2 linked regions of the Anolis sagrei genome follow. The protein of the gene in region 1 binds, or shares a complex with, the protein of each later gene. Links are inferred from orthologs where the notes say so. Each region holds a gene or a part of one and is shown in the gene's direction. Other genes may lie near its edges.

What was found. The genes of interacting proteins can lie anywhere in the genome.
Region 2: the proteins of SLC9A3 (region 1) and CHP1 are in contact, whole or in part, in a cryo-EM structure (PDB 7X2U), measured with the Homo sapiens proteins. The link is inferred for Anolis sagrei from reciprocal best matches to the Homo sapiens genes SLC9A3 and CHP1. Residues at the interface, in NP_004165.2 of Homo sapiens: Tyr396, Arg397, Met398, Gln400, Glu402, Arg474, Leu475, Asn476, Glu477, Leu479, His480, Gly481, Arg482, Ala483, Phe484, Asp485, His486, Ile487, Leu488, Ser489, Ala490, Ile491, Glu492, Asp493, Ile494, Ser495, Gly496, Gln497, Asn501, Arg504; in NP_009167.1 of Homo sapiens: Arg30, Leu31, Arg34, Leu38, Lys40, Glu49, Phe51, Gln52, Arg53, Ile54, Glu56, Leu57, Ala58, Ile59, Asn60, Pro61, Leu62, Asp64, Ile66, Phe70, Phe83, Leu87, Phe90, Leu115, Phe117, Ala118, Leu121, Tyr122, Leu135, Leu139.

Annotation. Positions count from the first base shown.
Region 1 is NC_090026.1:59,984,791-59,992,602, reverse strand, and holds the start of SLC9A3 (sodium/hydrogen exchanger 3), read left to right. Parts: upstream 1-4,787; 5' UTR 4,788-4,911; coding exon 4,912-5,116; intron 5,117-7,812. UniProt on the Homo sapiens protein: Plasma membrane Na(+)/H(+) antiporter. Exchanges intracellular H(+) ions for extracellular Na(+) in 1:1 stoichiometry, playing a key role in salt and fluid absorption and pH homeostasis.
Region 2 is NC_090021.1:288,858,289-288,865,759, reverse strand, and holds the start of CHP1 (calcineurin B homologous protein 1), read left to right. Parts: upstream 1-4,426; 5' UTR 4,427-4,521; coding exon 4,522-4,588; intron 4,589-7,471. UniProt on the Homo sapiens protein: Calcium-binding protein involved in different processes such as regulation of vesicular trafficking, plasma membrane Na(+)/H(+) exchanger and gene transcription. Involved in the constitutive exocytic membrane traffic.

The DNA of each region.
Region 1 (7,812 bases):
AAGGCAGCATTTCTCAGCTTGGGGGTCGGGACCCCTGGGGAGGTCACGAGGGGGTGTCGGAAGGGTTGCAAAAGACCATCAGAATTAAAAAAAAAAGAAAACACAGTAATTTTTGTTGACCATGGGGATTCTGTGTGGGAAGTTTAGCCTGATTCTATCGTTGGTGGGGTTCAGAAGGTTCTTTGATTGTAGGTGAACTATAAATCCCAGTAACAACAACTCCCCAATGTCAAGGTCTATTTCACCCAAACTCCATATGTGTTCATATTTGAGCATATGGAGTATTCATAGCAAGTTTGGTCTAGATCCTTCATTGTTTGAGTCCACAGTGCGCTCTGGATGTAGGTGAATTACAACTCCCAAACTCAAGGTAAATGCCCACCAAACCCTTCTGTTTTCTGTTGGTCATGGATGAACTGTGTGCCAGGTTCCATCAATTCCATCATTTGTGGCGTTTGGAATGCTCTGATTGTAGGTGAACTATAAATCCCAGCAACTACAATTCCCAAATGACAAAATCATATTTTTGAGTGATGGTCACTTGGCCTGATAGGTGTATAGCAGGGGTCCTCAAACTCTTTAAACAAAGGGCCATGTCACAGTCCCTCAAAGTGTTGGAAGGCCGTATTATAATTTGAAAAAAACACAAATGAATTCCCATGCTTTTGGCTGATGAGATAGGATTGTTGTTGTTGTTGTTGTGTGCTTTCAAGTTGTTTCCGGCGTAGGTTGACCCTGAGCGAGGGCTGGGTAAATGACCTTGGAGGGTCGTATCCGGTCCCCGGGTCTTAGTTTGAGGACCCCTGGTGTATAGTGTCCAAATTTGGTGTCAATTCGTCCAGTGGTTTTTGAGTTATTTTAATCCCACAAATGGAACATCACATTTTTATTTATATAGATTCATAGAATCAAAGAATCAAAGAGTTGGAAGAGACCTCATGGGCCATCCAGTCCAATCCCCCACCAAAAAGCAGGAAAATTACATTCAAAGCAAGCCTGACAGATGGCCATCCAGCCTCTGTTTAAAAGCTTCCAAAGAAGGAGCCTCCACCACAGTATGGGACAGAGAGTTCCACTGCTGAACGGCTCTCACAGTCAGGAAGTTCTTCCTAATGTTCAGACGGAATCTCCTTTCTTGTAGTTTGAAGCCATTGCTCCATTGCGTCCTTCTCTCCAGGGAAGCAGAAAACAGCTTGCTTCCTCCTCCCTATTTTTTACAGCATTTATATGCTGCCTTCTCACCCCAAAGGGGACTCAGAGCGGCTTAAAAGATATATTTTCATACAATATATTATATTATTAGCATAGTACAATATCAGTATTATATATTACTATAGTTATACATGGCTATCATGTCTCCTCTCAGCCTTCTCTTCTTCAGGCTAAACATGCCCAGCTCTTTGAGCTGCTCCTCATAGGGCTTGTTCTCCAGACCCTTGATCATTTTAGTCGCCCTCCTCTGGACACATTCCAGCTTGTCAATATCTCTCTTCAATTGTGGTGCCCAGAATTGGACACAAGGTGTGGCCCAACCAAGGCAGAATAGAGGGGTAGCATTACTTCCCTAGATCTACTATGCTCCTATTGATGCAGGCCAAAATCCCATTGGCTTTTTTTTGCTGCTACATCACATTGTTGGCTCATGTTTAACTTGTTGTCCATGAGGACTCCAAGATCTTTTTCACACGTACTGCTCTCGAGCCAGGCATCCCCCATTCTGTATCTTTGCATTTCATTTTTTCTGCCTAAGTGGAGTATCTTGCATTTGTCACTGTTGAACTTCATTTTGTTAGTTTTGGCCCATCTCTCTAATCTGTCAAGATCGTTTTGAATCCTGCTCCTGTCCTCTGGAGTATTGGCTATCCCTCCCAATTTGGTGTCATCTGCAAACTTGATGATCATGCCTTCTAACCCTTCATCTAAGTCATTAATAAAGATGTTGAACAGGACCGGGCCCAGGACGGATCCCTGCTGATGGCACTCCACTCATCACTTCTTTGCAGGATGAAGAGGAAGCATTGGTGAGCACCCTCTGGGTTTGTCTGCTTAACCAATTACAGATCCATCTAACTGTAGTTTTGCCTAGCCCACATTGGACTAGTTTCCTTGCCAGAAGGTCATGGGGGACCTTGTCGAAGGCCTTACTGAAATCCAGGTACGCTACATCCACGGCATTCCCCGCATCTACCCAGCTTGTAACTCTATCAAAAAAAGAGATCAGATTAGTCTGGCATGAGCCAACGATGTGATGTGGCAGTAAAAAAAGCCAATGGGATTTTGGCCTGCATCAATAGGAGCATAGTGTCTAGGTCCAGGGAAGTCATGCTACCCCTCTATTCCGCTTTGGTTAGACCACACCTGGAATATTGTGTCCAATTCTGGGCACCACAATTGAAGAGAGATTGACAAGCTGGAATGTGTCCAGTCCAGAGGAGGGTGACTAAAATGATAAAGGGTCTGGAGAACAAGCCTTATGAGGAGCGGCTCAAAGAGCTGGGCATGTTTAGCCTGAAGAAGAGAATGCTGAGAGGAGATATGATAGCCAAGCCATGTATAAATATGTGAGAAGAAGCCACAGGGAGGAGGGTGCAAGCTTGTTTTCTGCTTCCCTGGAGACTAGGACGTGGAACAATTGCTTCAAACTACAAGAAAGGAGGTTCCATCTGAACATGAGGAAGAACTTCCTGACTGTGAGAGCCATTCGACAGTGGAACTCTCTGCCCCGGAATGTGGTGGAGGCTCCTTCTTTGGAAGCTTTTAAGCAGAGGCTGGATGGCCATCTGTCAGGGGTGATTTGAATGCAATATTCCTGCTTCTTGGCAAAGAGGTTGGACTGGATGGCCCATGAGGTCCCTTCCAACTCTTTGATTCTATGATTCTATGACTCAAGCAATGATGGATCTGGACCAAACTTGTCACGAATATTCCATATGCCCAAATATGAACACAGATGGAGTTTGGGGGAAATAGACCTTCGCATTTGGGAGTTTTAGTTACTGGGATTTATAGTTCACCTACAATCAAAGAGCATTCTGAATGAACCCCATGAATGACAGAATTGGGGCAAACTTCCCACACAGAACCTCCATGACCAACAGAAAATACTTAAGGCCATCCAATCCAATTCTCCTCTCCCTAATTCGCAGGGTGGGCCAAGGGGCCCGCCCGCTTCGGGTCCGGAGGCGTGTCTGAAGACCTCAGTGTGCGCACCAAGAGTTGCCTCTTCTCCTGACTTTCTCTTCAGCCATTGGGACCAAGAGAGAGAGAGAGCCCCTCCGGCTGGAGGTATCTCCCACCTCCGCTCCCTACTTTGTTTTTGCACCTACCTTCAGGAAAGGTGGGCATCTCCACCTCTGTCTCTCTCTCTCTCTTGGTTCCAATGGCTGAGGAGAGAGTCAGGCGAAGAGATGACTTTTGGTGCACACGCCGGGGTCTTCAGGCACGCCTCCGGACCCAAAGCGGGCCAGGCAAGGGAGCAAGTGTGGCAAGTGTAGTTACTGGGATGTATAGTTCACCTACAATCAAAGAGCATTCTGAACTCCACCAATGATGGAATTGAACCAAATATGGCACACATAACTCCCACGATGGACAGAAAATATATATCAATGATTGGTTGGGGGGGGGGGGGGTGCGCCAAAATACTGTTTGCTTACCGTTGAAAATTACCTTAGGGCCGCCTCTGCTTGTTCTCCAGACCCTTGATCATTTTAGTCGCCCTCCTCTGGACACATTCCAGCTTGTCAATATCTCTCTTCAATTGTGGTGCCCAGAATTGGACACAATGAGGAGGAACTTCCTGACTGTGAGAGCCGTTCAGCAGTGGAACTCTCTGCCCCGGAGTGTGGTGGAGGCTCCTTCTTTGTAAGCTTTTAAACAGAGGCTGGATGGCCATCTGTCAGGGGTGCTTTGAATGCAATATTCCTGCTTCTTGCCAGGGGGTTGGACTGGATGGCCCATGAGGTCTCTTCCAACTCTTTGATTCTATGATTCTATGTTCAGATGGAATCTCCTTTCTCTAGTTTGAAGCCATCGTTTCGCATCCTAGTCTCCAAGGAAGCAGAAAACAAGCTTGGTCCCTCCTCCCTGTGGCTTCCTCTCACATATTTATACATGGCTATCATATCTCCTCTCAGCCTTCTCTTCTTCAAGGTAAACATGCCCAGCTCCTTAAGACACTCCTCATAGGGCTTGTTCTCCAGACCCTTGATCATTTTAGTCGCCCTCCTCTGGACACATTCCAGCTTGTCAATATCTCTCTTCAATTGTGGTGCCCAGAATTGGACACAATGAGGAGGAACTTCCTGACTGTGAGAGCCGTTCAGCAGTGGAACTCTCTGCCCCAGAGTGTGGTGGAGGCTCCTTCTTTGGAAACTTTTAAACAGAGGCTGGATGGCCATCTGTCAGGGGTGCTTTGAATGCAATATTCCTGCTTCTTGGCAGGGGGTTGGATTAGATGGCCCATGAGGTCTCTTCCAACTCTTTGATTCTATGATTCTATGGTTCTATGTGTGTCTTGATGCCAATGATTTGTTGTTTGGGTTTGTTTCCTTGCCCCCTTTGGCCCTGAATGTTTGCCCTTCTGGAAACCGCCCTGAGTCCCCCCCGGGGAGATAGAGCGGGTTACAAATCAAGGAGGCTGATAGGCCGGCCCTTTGGAGGGTGGCTCCGCCCCTGTGTGCCCCGAGGGGACGGGCGGAGGGGCTGAGCAAAGGCATAAAGGCGCCTCCACCTCCAGCCTGGCTGCTGCTGCTGCTGCTTCTCCATCTCCTCCGCCCTCGAAGCCCTCGAAGCGCGCCTCCTCCACCAAGAGAGCGCCGCCGCTCCGTGCCGCGCACCAAGCGGGCGAGTCTGCTCAGGAACCACCACCACCAGCAGCAGCTGCTGCAGCACCTTTGGGTCTTGAGCAGGATGAGCCTGGCGCGCCCTTGGGGGGCTCTGGTGGGGCTGGCCCTCCTCCCCCTCCTCCTCCTCTTGCCCTCCGCCTCGGCATCGGAAGAGGGCCCGCCTGACCCCGAGCCGGAGGGCTACCAAGTCGTCACCTTCAAATGGCACCACGTCCAGGACCCATACATCATCGCCCTCTGGATCCTGGTGGCCAGCGTGGCCAAGATCTGTGAGTCCAAAACATTTTTTTCCCCACCTCTTAATCTTAATCTTTGCTGTGAGTTTTGCGGACTGTATAGCTATGTCCCAGTAGCACTCTCTCCCGACGTTTCGCCTGCATCTGTGCCTGGCATGCACAGAGTTTTGTTGGCAATGGGGCAAGTATTTATTTATTTGTCGTGTCAGAGCAACCAGTCCATTATATTACATTTCTAACAGAACAGAGCAAACAAACAGACAAATACAAAACTTGTGAATTTGGTAGTTGGTTAAATGTCCTTAAATGGGGCAAGTGTGTATGTCTAGCTATTTATATCAGTGGGAGAAATTACTCTTGTCTGTTGTGAATGTAGCAATTGAAGGCCCTTCCAGACAAGCCCTACATCCCAGGATCTGGCTTCAAACTACAAGAGAGGAGATTCCATCTGAACATGAGGAAGAACTTCCTGACTGTGAGAGCCGTTCAGCAGTGGAACTCTCTGCCCCGGAGAGTGGTGGAGGCTCCTTCTTTGGAAGCTTTTAAACAGAGGCTGGATGGCCATTTGTCAGGGGTGATTTGAATGCAATATTCCTGCTTCTTGGCAGGGGGTTGGACTGGATGGCCCATGAGGTCTCTTCCAACTCTTTGATTCTATGATTCTATGATCTGATCCCAGGTTTTAAGAATTAATAACAGACAGGCATGTAGCGGGGGGGGGGGGGCCTTGAGGGGCTTCAGCCCCCTCCCCCCGAAATTCTCGTGGTGGTTCGCGAAAAGGCCTTACTGGTGCATTATTTAAACTGTTATGTTTATTCATATCATGATCTGATCACCCTACTCAATATATCCCATATGCATGGGGGTATTGGGGTAATGATACAAAAGGTTTGCTAGGCTAGACCCTCTTTCACTCAGACTCATCCCCCCAAAACTCCCCCCTGAAAAAAATTCACCCCCCCCCCCCCCGAAACGAAATCCTGGCCTGTCTGTTGTGAATGTAGCAATTGAAGGCCCTTCCAGACAAGCCCTACATCCCAGGATCTGATCCCAGGTTTTAAGAATTAATAACAACAGAGAGTAAACAATCAGGCGCATCAAATCACCCCTCAAAGAAAGATTCCCCCAGGCACTTCCAAGCCATTAAATGCTAATCAAGGTGGTCAGTTTTTATTTATTTATTTATTTAAAAGTTTTGTATATCGACCTTCTCACCTCTCTTGAGAGACTCAGACCAGTTTCCAACCATAATATCACATACAGTCAATAAAAACATCATAATTCATATTCCAGTAAAACTATTAAAATAGCAATTACATTCAATAACTACAATGATTGAAACAGTTGAAACATTCACACCTAGCTCCAGCAGACAAAAGTCCTTTGCCCCACCCTGGTCTTTCCACAGATATATAAACCCATTTTCCTACTTCCAACAGACCTCACTACCTCTGAGGATGCTTGCCATAGATGCAGGTGAAACGTCAGGAGAGAATGCCTCTAGAACATGGTCATATAGCCCGGAAAACCTACAACAACCCAATAATAATAATAATAATAATAATAATAATATTTATTTACTAGCTGTCCCCTGCTACGCGTTGCTGTGGCCCAGTCTGGAAAATAAAGTAATGAGAAAGTGTTGGCTTCTAATATATGTAATGTCTTGATGCTTGTGAGTAAACAGTATTTCTTGCTGTATTGTCGAAGGCTTTCATGGCCAGAATCACTGGGTTGTTGTAGTTTTTTTCGGGCTATATGGCCATAATCTAGACAGGCATGTAGCCGGGAGGGGGGGGGGGGGCTTGAGGGGCTTCAGCCCCCCCCCCCCCCCGAAATTCTCATGGTGGTTCGCGAAAAGGCCTTACTGGTGCATTATTTAAACTGTTATGTTTATTCATATCATGATCTGATCACCATAATCAATATATGGGGTAATGATACAAAAGGTTTGCTAGGCTAGACCCTCTTTCACTCAGACTCAGCCCCCCCTGAAAGTCAGCCCCCCCCCAAAACTTCCCCCTGAAAAAAATTCACTCACCCCCACCACCACCCCCGAAACGAAATCCTGGCTATGGGCCTGTCTGTTGTGAATGTAGCAATTGAAGACCCTTCCAGACAAACCCTACATCCCAGGATCTGATCCCAGGTTTTAAGAATTAATAACAACAGAGAGTAAACAATCAGGCACATCAAATCACCTCTCAAAGAAAGATTCCCCCAGGCACTTCCAAGCCATTAAATGCTAATCAAGGTGGTCAACTGAAACATTCACACCTAGCTCCAGCAGACAAAAGTCCTTTGTCCTACCCTGGTCTTTCCACAGATATAGGTAAAGGTTGTCCCCTGACATTAACTCCAGTCATGTCTGACTCTGGGGTGTGGTGCTCATCTCCATTTCTAAGCCGAAGAGCCAGCGTTGTCCATAGACACCTCCAAGGTCATGTGGCCAGCATGACAGCATGGAGCGCCGTTATATAAACCCATTTTCCTACTTCCAACAGACCTCTCTGAGGATGCTTGCCATAGATGCAGGCGAAATGTCAGGAGAGAATGCCTCTAGAACATGGCCATATAGCCCGGAAAACCTACAACAACCCAATAATAATAATAATAATAATAATAATAATAATAATAATATTATTTATTTACTAGCTGTCCCCTGCCACGCGTTGCTGTGGCCCAGTCTGGAAAATAAAGTAATGAGAAAGTGTTGGCTTCTAATATAT
Region 2 (7,471 bases), on another chromosome or scaffold:
GCATACATAATTAAAGGCTTTCTGTAGGTTGCAGAACAACCTAAACAGACTAGAGTTAGGAGTCGTTTCAACCTCCAGGCATGCATGCAAGAAGGTTGTGACTATTAGGAATGTCTCTCATTTGAAAGGTTTGCCATTCCATTAAGTTCAATTGTATGCATAATGACACACAACCTTTCAGTATAAGCAACTACAGAGCACAATAAATCTTCTCTCCTTTCCCTCTACTCATATTCATTGCAAACGTTTATGGAGGAATAATCAAACAAGATTGTCATTTTAATGCTATTTTTAAAGCAAAGTGATACAATGGTGGAAGGAAAGCTACAGGAAGGGAAGATCGGGAGACTGTTTTATGCATTTTATTATAGTGTCCGTGTTTGTTTTATTTTTATAGGGAAGGTGTGAGTTGTATTTTTTTAATTACAAAAAAAATAAGTTTAAAAAATTGTCATTTTGAAGCCAGCAAGATCAGTCTGCTATACATACGAAAAGGAAATAGAGCTCAATAGTGGTTCACAGAAACTGGTCTTTCAGCCACTTACACTGCTCTTTGTTTAAACTACAAGCTTTTAAAAGTAGAGCTCAGCTAGACATGTAAAATGGTAAGCAACAAAGAATTTAACTTTAAAAATAGAGTTCATGGGAAAATTGTCCCATTTCAGCTAGATGACTGCAAGCAGCTCTCAGTTCCAGGAATCTCCTTTCCCCTACTGCCTAAACAGAAAGAATTCTTGAACTTTAGCACAGTATGTTAGGTTGGGACAGGGTGAAACCTTGTCGTTATCAGAGAATTAGATGATTCACTACAAAAAAATAAATCTACTTTATTCATGTCCAAAAATCAAGACCAGGTGGAAAGGGAGGTGGGACAGAGCCATTAAAGACTTTCAGAATACTCCAGGTCTATCAGAATAATTACAAGTTGTATATGACACTGCACTGTACTTTGGTATACTCATCACAATTATAACACTATCCTGAGAATGTTTTCCTACATATGAACCTTATTAAGTTAATTAGGAATTGTTCCCTAGCCTGGGTGTTTACGACTGCTACAGCCAGTCATACATGTGGCAGGAAAAGCAAAACAGGCATACTTTCTTAAGCTGACTATGATTAAAGTAGGCAATTCCTCAATTCAGAATAATTTTGATTTGGAAAACTTGCCCCTTAGGTTAGAAGAGGAAAAGAAAGTTTACTGCCAATGTCTTTAAACTGCATCAGTTCGATATCTGAGTCTAGGTCATTTAAAAATAACTACAATTTGCTTTGAAAACTTGTTTGTTTCTAAAAGAGCACACCACCTGCTAACAGAGGGAGATTAAAGGGCTTATATAGCCTGAGCTGACAATTTTTCTCAGGTCAAGACCAATCACCTTCTGTTCAAGACGTTTTAACACCATCTTGGGCACCCGAGTAATGGTGCACATTGACTTCCATTCCAACAAGCATGTGCATATATGTAACCCCAAACAATTTCACAGGGTTCTCTTAGGGTAGGAATACTCAGAGGTGGTTTTATTTATTTATTTGCTTTATTTCTATACCCCATTTTTCAGCCATCGTTTTCATTTGCTTTTTGTATCTATGGAAATATTTTCAAGTTGCCTAAAAATTTATTGCTTTCCTGTTGTTTTCATAGGCTAAGAATAGACAAAGGCGGATATACCAATTCCTTCCTCTTAAACTATTCCTATAGGTTCAATGGGGGGAAAACATGTATTTTTTCTTAAATTGGATGTTTGTGTCTTTTTTTTTTTTACCAAAAGGATCCCTTTTATTTTAATATAAAGATAGAAAGGCTGAAGAATAAAAATCAGTCAGGCAAGACCAAGGCACTGGAAAAGGGCAAAAGCAAGCAGCTCTTGCTGCAAAACCAACCACAATTGGAAAAGGTGGAAGGTCATCAAAAGAGGAATCTCATATACTTTACATCAGGGGTTCTCAAACTAAGGCCCGTGGGCTGGATGCGGCCCTCCAAGGTCATTTACTCAGCCCCTGGTCTAAACTTTGGACTTAGGATCACCCTAAATCTGAAACAACTTCAAGTCACACAACAACAACAACAACCTGAATTAACTTGGCTATCTGATCAGCCAAAAGCAGGCCCACCTTTCCCATTGAAATACTGGTAAGTTTGTTGGTTAAAATTGTTCCTCATTTTAAATACTGCATTGTTCTTTCATGTATTTTGCAGTACAAATAATTTATCTGCAGTGTTCATAGGAATTTGTCCATGTTTTTCTCAAAATATAGTCGTCATTCCCCAAGTCTTAGGGACAATGAATTGGCCCTCTGCTTTAAAAGTATGAGGCCCCCTGCGTTACACATATCAGTCCCATTTGGAAGAAGCATCCTGATACTCCAGCAGCCAGTCTGCTTTATGTTCTACCACCCTGGAACTTGTTAGACAAACAGATATATTGCAGGGCACGGATTTAATGATGTTGTGCACAGGGCTATAGAGTAATGCCTTGAAGAATCATAGAGTTGGAAGAGACCTCATGGGCCATCCAGTCCAACCCCCTGCCAAGAAGCAGGAATATTGCATTCAAAGCACCCCTGACAAATGGCCATCCAGCCTGTTTAAAAGCTTCCATAGAAGGAGCCTCCACCACACTCCAGGGCAGAGAGTTCCACTGCTGAACGGCTCTCACAGTCAGGAAGTTCTTCCTAATGTTCAGATGGAATCTCTGTTCTTGTAGTTTGATGCCATTGTTCCGCGTCCTGTGTTCCATCCAAGAAGAGACATATGCACACATATGACTTGAAGAGAGGGGAGGCCAGAGGACAGATCCATCTTGCCTCCTGCATATGCCATCAGTTGGGGACCGCTCCCCCAGCACCAACTGCCACTTTGGGCCAGAGTGAAGAGAGGAGGGCAGAAGACAGTTCCACGTTGTCTCCTGTGCTATGCTAATAATATAATATAATGTAATATACTGTATTGTATATACATATAATATTTATATTATAATGTAATACAAAATAATACTAATATGCTATTATAATTATATATTTATATTACATGCAATATTACTAATAACAATACAATATAATGGTGTAGCACAATATAATAATATGTACTATGCTAATAATATAATATATTGTATGTATAAATATCTTGTAAACCGCTCTGAGTCCCCTTCGTAGTGAGAAGGGCGGCATATTAATGTCATAAATAAATAAATATATCTGTATTTGCAGCAATCATCTAATGCAGGGGTCCACAAACTTTAAACAGAGGGCCAGGTCACAGTTCCTCAAACTGATGGAGGGCCGGATTATAATTTGAAAAAACCATGAATTCCTATGCACACCACATATCTTATTTGTAATGCAAAAATCACTTAAAACAATACAATAATTAAAATGAAGAACAATTTAACAAATATAAACTTTTTGGTATCTCAATGGGAAGTGTGGGCCTGCTTCTGGCTCATGAGATAGGATTGTTATGTGCTTTCAAGTCGTTTCAGACTTAGATTGACCCTGAGCGAGGGCCGGGTAAATGACCTTGGAGGGCCGCATCCGGCCCCTGGGCCTTAGTTTGAGGACCCCTGGTCTAATGTGTATATTTGTGCCTTCAAGCTGCCCACTGACCTATGGATGTTTGTGCCTTCAAGTTGCCCACTGACCTATGGCTACCCCACTGTTTTCTTGGGCAAGGGATATTCAGTTTTGCCAGTTCTTTCCTGTCAAATATGGCCTACACCACCTGGAATTAATGGGTGGCCTCCCACCCAAGAGCTTAACCAAACCTGACCCTACTTAGCCTTCAAGGCCAAGCAGGACAGTGTGACTTTATGATATTTAAGCTTAGACCCAATATTTACAAGACAGCCCACAGAAACAGCACCTAAGAAACAACCAGTAAGACTGTAGTATAGGCACGGGCAAACTTGGGCCCTCCAGGTGTTTTGGGCTTCAGCTCCCACCATTCCTAACAGCCTCAGGCCCATTCCTTTCAGGGCCATTCCTTTCAGGAATGGGCCTGAGGCTGTTAGGAATGGTGGGAGCTGAAGCCCAAAACACCTGGAGGGCCCAAGTTTGCCCATGCCTGCTGTAGTCTATGCCCTAGTGAGGCCAACCAGAAAAAAAGGGCAAAATTTCTTAAAGGCCTCAGGCTTATTTCGAAACATACAAGTTAAAAACAACTAGAGCTGTACAAGACGAGGCTCAATTTCTCAAGAGGACGCGCGTCCCATCCACCTCGCGCAGGAGAAACTCCGCCCGCCAGGAGCCGAGGGCGCCGAAGTGTTGCTCTGCGCAGGCGCGAAGTCGGCGTTGCTCTGCGCAGGCGGGGAAGAGGTTATAAAAGGGAGCGGCGCGCGCCCTGGCGGTTGGAGGCTCTGCTCTCGGCGGGACGTCACACGCTCAGCTGGTTGGCGGTGCGCCGCTCGCGCGTCCCTTCCTTCCCTCCCTCGCACCGCCCGCGCGCCCCCGGCTGCTAGGCCGAGAGAAGACGCACGCGCGCGCGCTGCCTTCGGAGGCTGGTTGCGATTCGAGGCGGCCGCCATGGGCTCCCGGGCGTCCACGCTGCTGAGGGACGAGGAGATCGAGGAGATCAAGAAGGAGACGGGCTGTGAGTGCCGGGAGAGGAAGGGGAAGGGGAGGGCTGGCCTGCTCGCCAACGGCCCTGGGCCTTGAGGTGAAGTCCGACGGGGCTGTCCCTCCCTTCTGTCATTGGCAGAGGCCAAGCTTGCAGTCTCCGAAGGGGACGCTGGGCCTCCTTGTCTGACAGGAGGTTGGGGTTGTGGACTTCCGCCTTGTGCTTCCCAGTTTTGATTGTTTTGGACCTCAGCTGAGGGGGGAAAGGAAGGGAGCTGAGGCTGATAGGAGTGGTGGGAGTTAAAGTCCAAAACACCCGAAGGGCCCAAGTTTGTCCATGCCTAGATCAGAGTTCCTGATATCTGGCCAATTGAATCACTCAGTGAACCAATGCTTGGGAGCCACTAGGCAGGCATGGGCAAACTTGGGTTATATGGCTGTGTGGAAGGGCCCTAGGGCCTCATCTCCAAGATATCTCATTATGTATGTCTTAACAGGTATGGGTAAACTAGACCAGGCTGTGTGGAAAGGCCCCAAGGCCTCATCTCCAAGATCTATATAAATAAATATGTAATGTTCGTTTGTGGGATTAACCTAACTCAAAAACCACTGGGCGAATGGACACCAAGTTTGGGCACAATGCACCTATCAGGCCAACAAGTAACCATCACTTATAAAAACACTGAAAAACACAGCGGAAAATACTTTAAATACCAAAAAATACATTACAACACATGCGCAAAATTATTATTATTATTATTATTATTATTAAACTTTATTTGTACCCCGCTAGCATCTCCCGAAGGACTCGATGCAGCTTACAAAGGCCAAGGCCTCAAACAACAACAAGAAACAATAACAATACAATGCAAGCAAATTAAAAACATAAGCAATAACAAAAACAAAACATTACACTATTACGCAATAAAACCAGGGCCGGGCCAATGAAAGGTACAGGTTAAAAAAGTGCTGGGTGTAAGAGGTGATATGTTGGGATTCTGGGCAAGTGCAATGTGCAGAGAGTTTTAAGCTCTAATAAAGTGCTTCTGGGACGTAGTGCTGGAGGTTATCCTATTCTGGAAAGGCACATCGGAATAGCCAGGTCTTCAAGTTCTTCCTAAAGACTGCCAACGTGGGTGCAAAACCACATATCTACGCAAACACACACATATATACAAATACACATATATATACACACAAAACACATATACACAGACTGGGCCACAGCAACGCATGGCAGGGGACGGCTAGTATCTCATAAATATATTACTGGCATGGGCAAACTTCAGCCCTCCAGGTGTTTTAGACTTCAAATCCCACCATTCCTAACAGCCTTAGGCCCCTTCCTTTCCCCCCTCAGCTTAAGCTTAAGCAGCTGAGGGGGAAAAGGAAGGGGGTTGAGACTGTTTGGAATGGTGGGATTTGAAGTCCAAAACACCTAGAGGGCCCAAGTTTGCCCATGCCTAGACCAGAGTTCCTGATCTCGCCAATTGAAGCCCTAATCACCCAGAGAACCAATGCTTGGGAGCCACTAGGCAGGCATGGGCAAACTTGGGTTATATGGCTGTGTGGAAGGGCCCTAGGGCCTCATCTCCAAGATTTCTCATTATGTATATCTAACAGGCATGGGCAAACTTAGGCCCTCCAAATGTTTTGGACTTCAACTACCACCATTCCTAACAGCCTTAGGCCCCTTCCTTTCCCCCCTCAGCTTAAGCAGGTAAGGGGGGGGGGAAGGAAGGGGGCTGAGGCCGTTCAGAATGGTGGGAGTTAAAGTCCAAAACACCTGGAGGATCCAAGTTTGCCCATGCTTGCACTACACAGAGTACCGCTCCTCAAAGTATGGGTCCTGATCCCAAGAGGTCCTCTTCTTGGCTCAATGCTGGGGTTGCAAAAAATTGGCAGCAGTAAAAGGTTTCCAATCATTGCCCCTTTACATAAATTAGTCAGCAGCAACAACGGGCCATCTTTACAGTGGACCCTGCAGACGGGATGCATGAGCTGGACTCCACAAAAAAGGAAAACTAGCCTCTTTAGCAGGTCTTGCAAATTCTTGTTAATTTTCAGTAAATGTGTGATTTTTAACCTATTTTATATACCTGGGGTCTTCCAGATGTTTTGAACTTAACATTCCAGAGTCCCTGAACATTGGCCATGGCAGCCAAGGCTTCTGGGTTATTTATTTATTTATTTATTCTGAACATTTTTTACCCCCGCCCTTCTCAACCCGTAGGGGGACTCAGGGTTGAAGACCAAAACACTGGAGGTATTAGCAGTAGTTCCCAGCCTTAACTTGAGCAGGGGATACTTGACTAGAGACCACTTTCCAACATTAGTACTAAACAACGTTAGTACTAAAAGGGTTATGAATCGGTTTTTGGTCAATTTTAGATTCAGTTCAGGGTGCTAATTCAGAAAATCGCATTGGATAGACCACGTCAGATACAGAACATATGCCATGGTCAGCAACAGGGAAGGAGTGGCAGGTAGCGTGAAGGGAGCGGAAATAAAATAAGCAAATAAAAAGGAGGTTTGCAGACCAGATTTTCGCTCTCGAGGTCCATGGTCCACAGGTTTAGAGCCACTGGACTAGAGGTTGGGAATCACTGCCCTAGGAGAAGTCGACCCCAAGCATCTCATAACTAAGGGGAAAAGGACTTCAGACTGGGTTGTTGTGAGTTGTCTGGGCTGTGTGGCCATGTTCCAGAAGCATTCTCTCTTTACGTTTCGCCCACATGTAACATCAGGAGGGAATGCTTCTGGAACATGACCGTACAGCCTGGAAAACTCACAACAACCCAGTGATTCCATCCATGAAAGCTTTTGACAATACATTGGACTTCAGACTGTCCTGTTACAGGATCTGGCAGGCAGTGGCTCCTGCTGACTGTCCTCCTTTGTCAACTCTCTTAAAGGC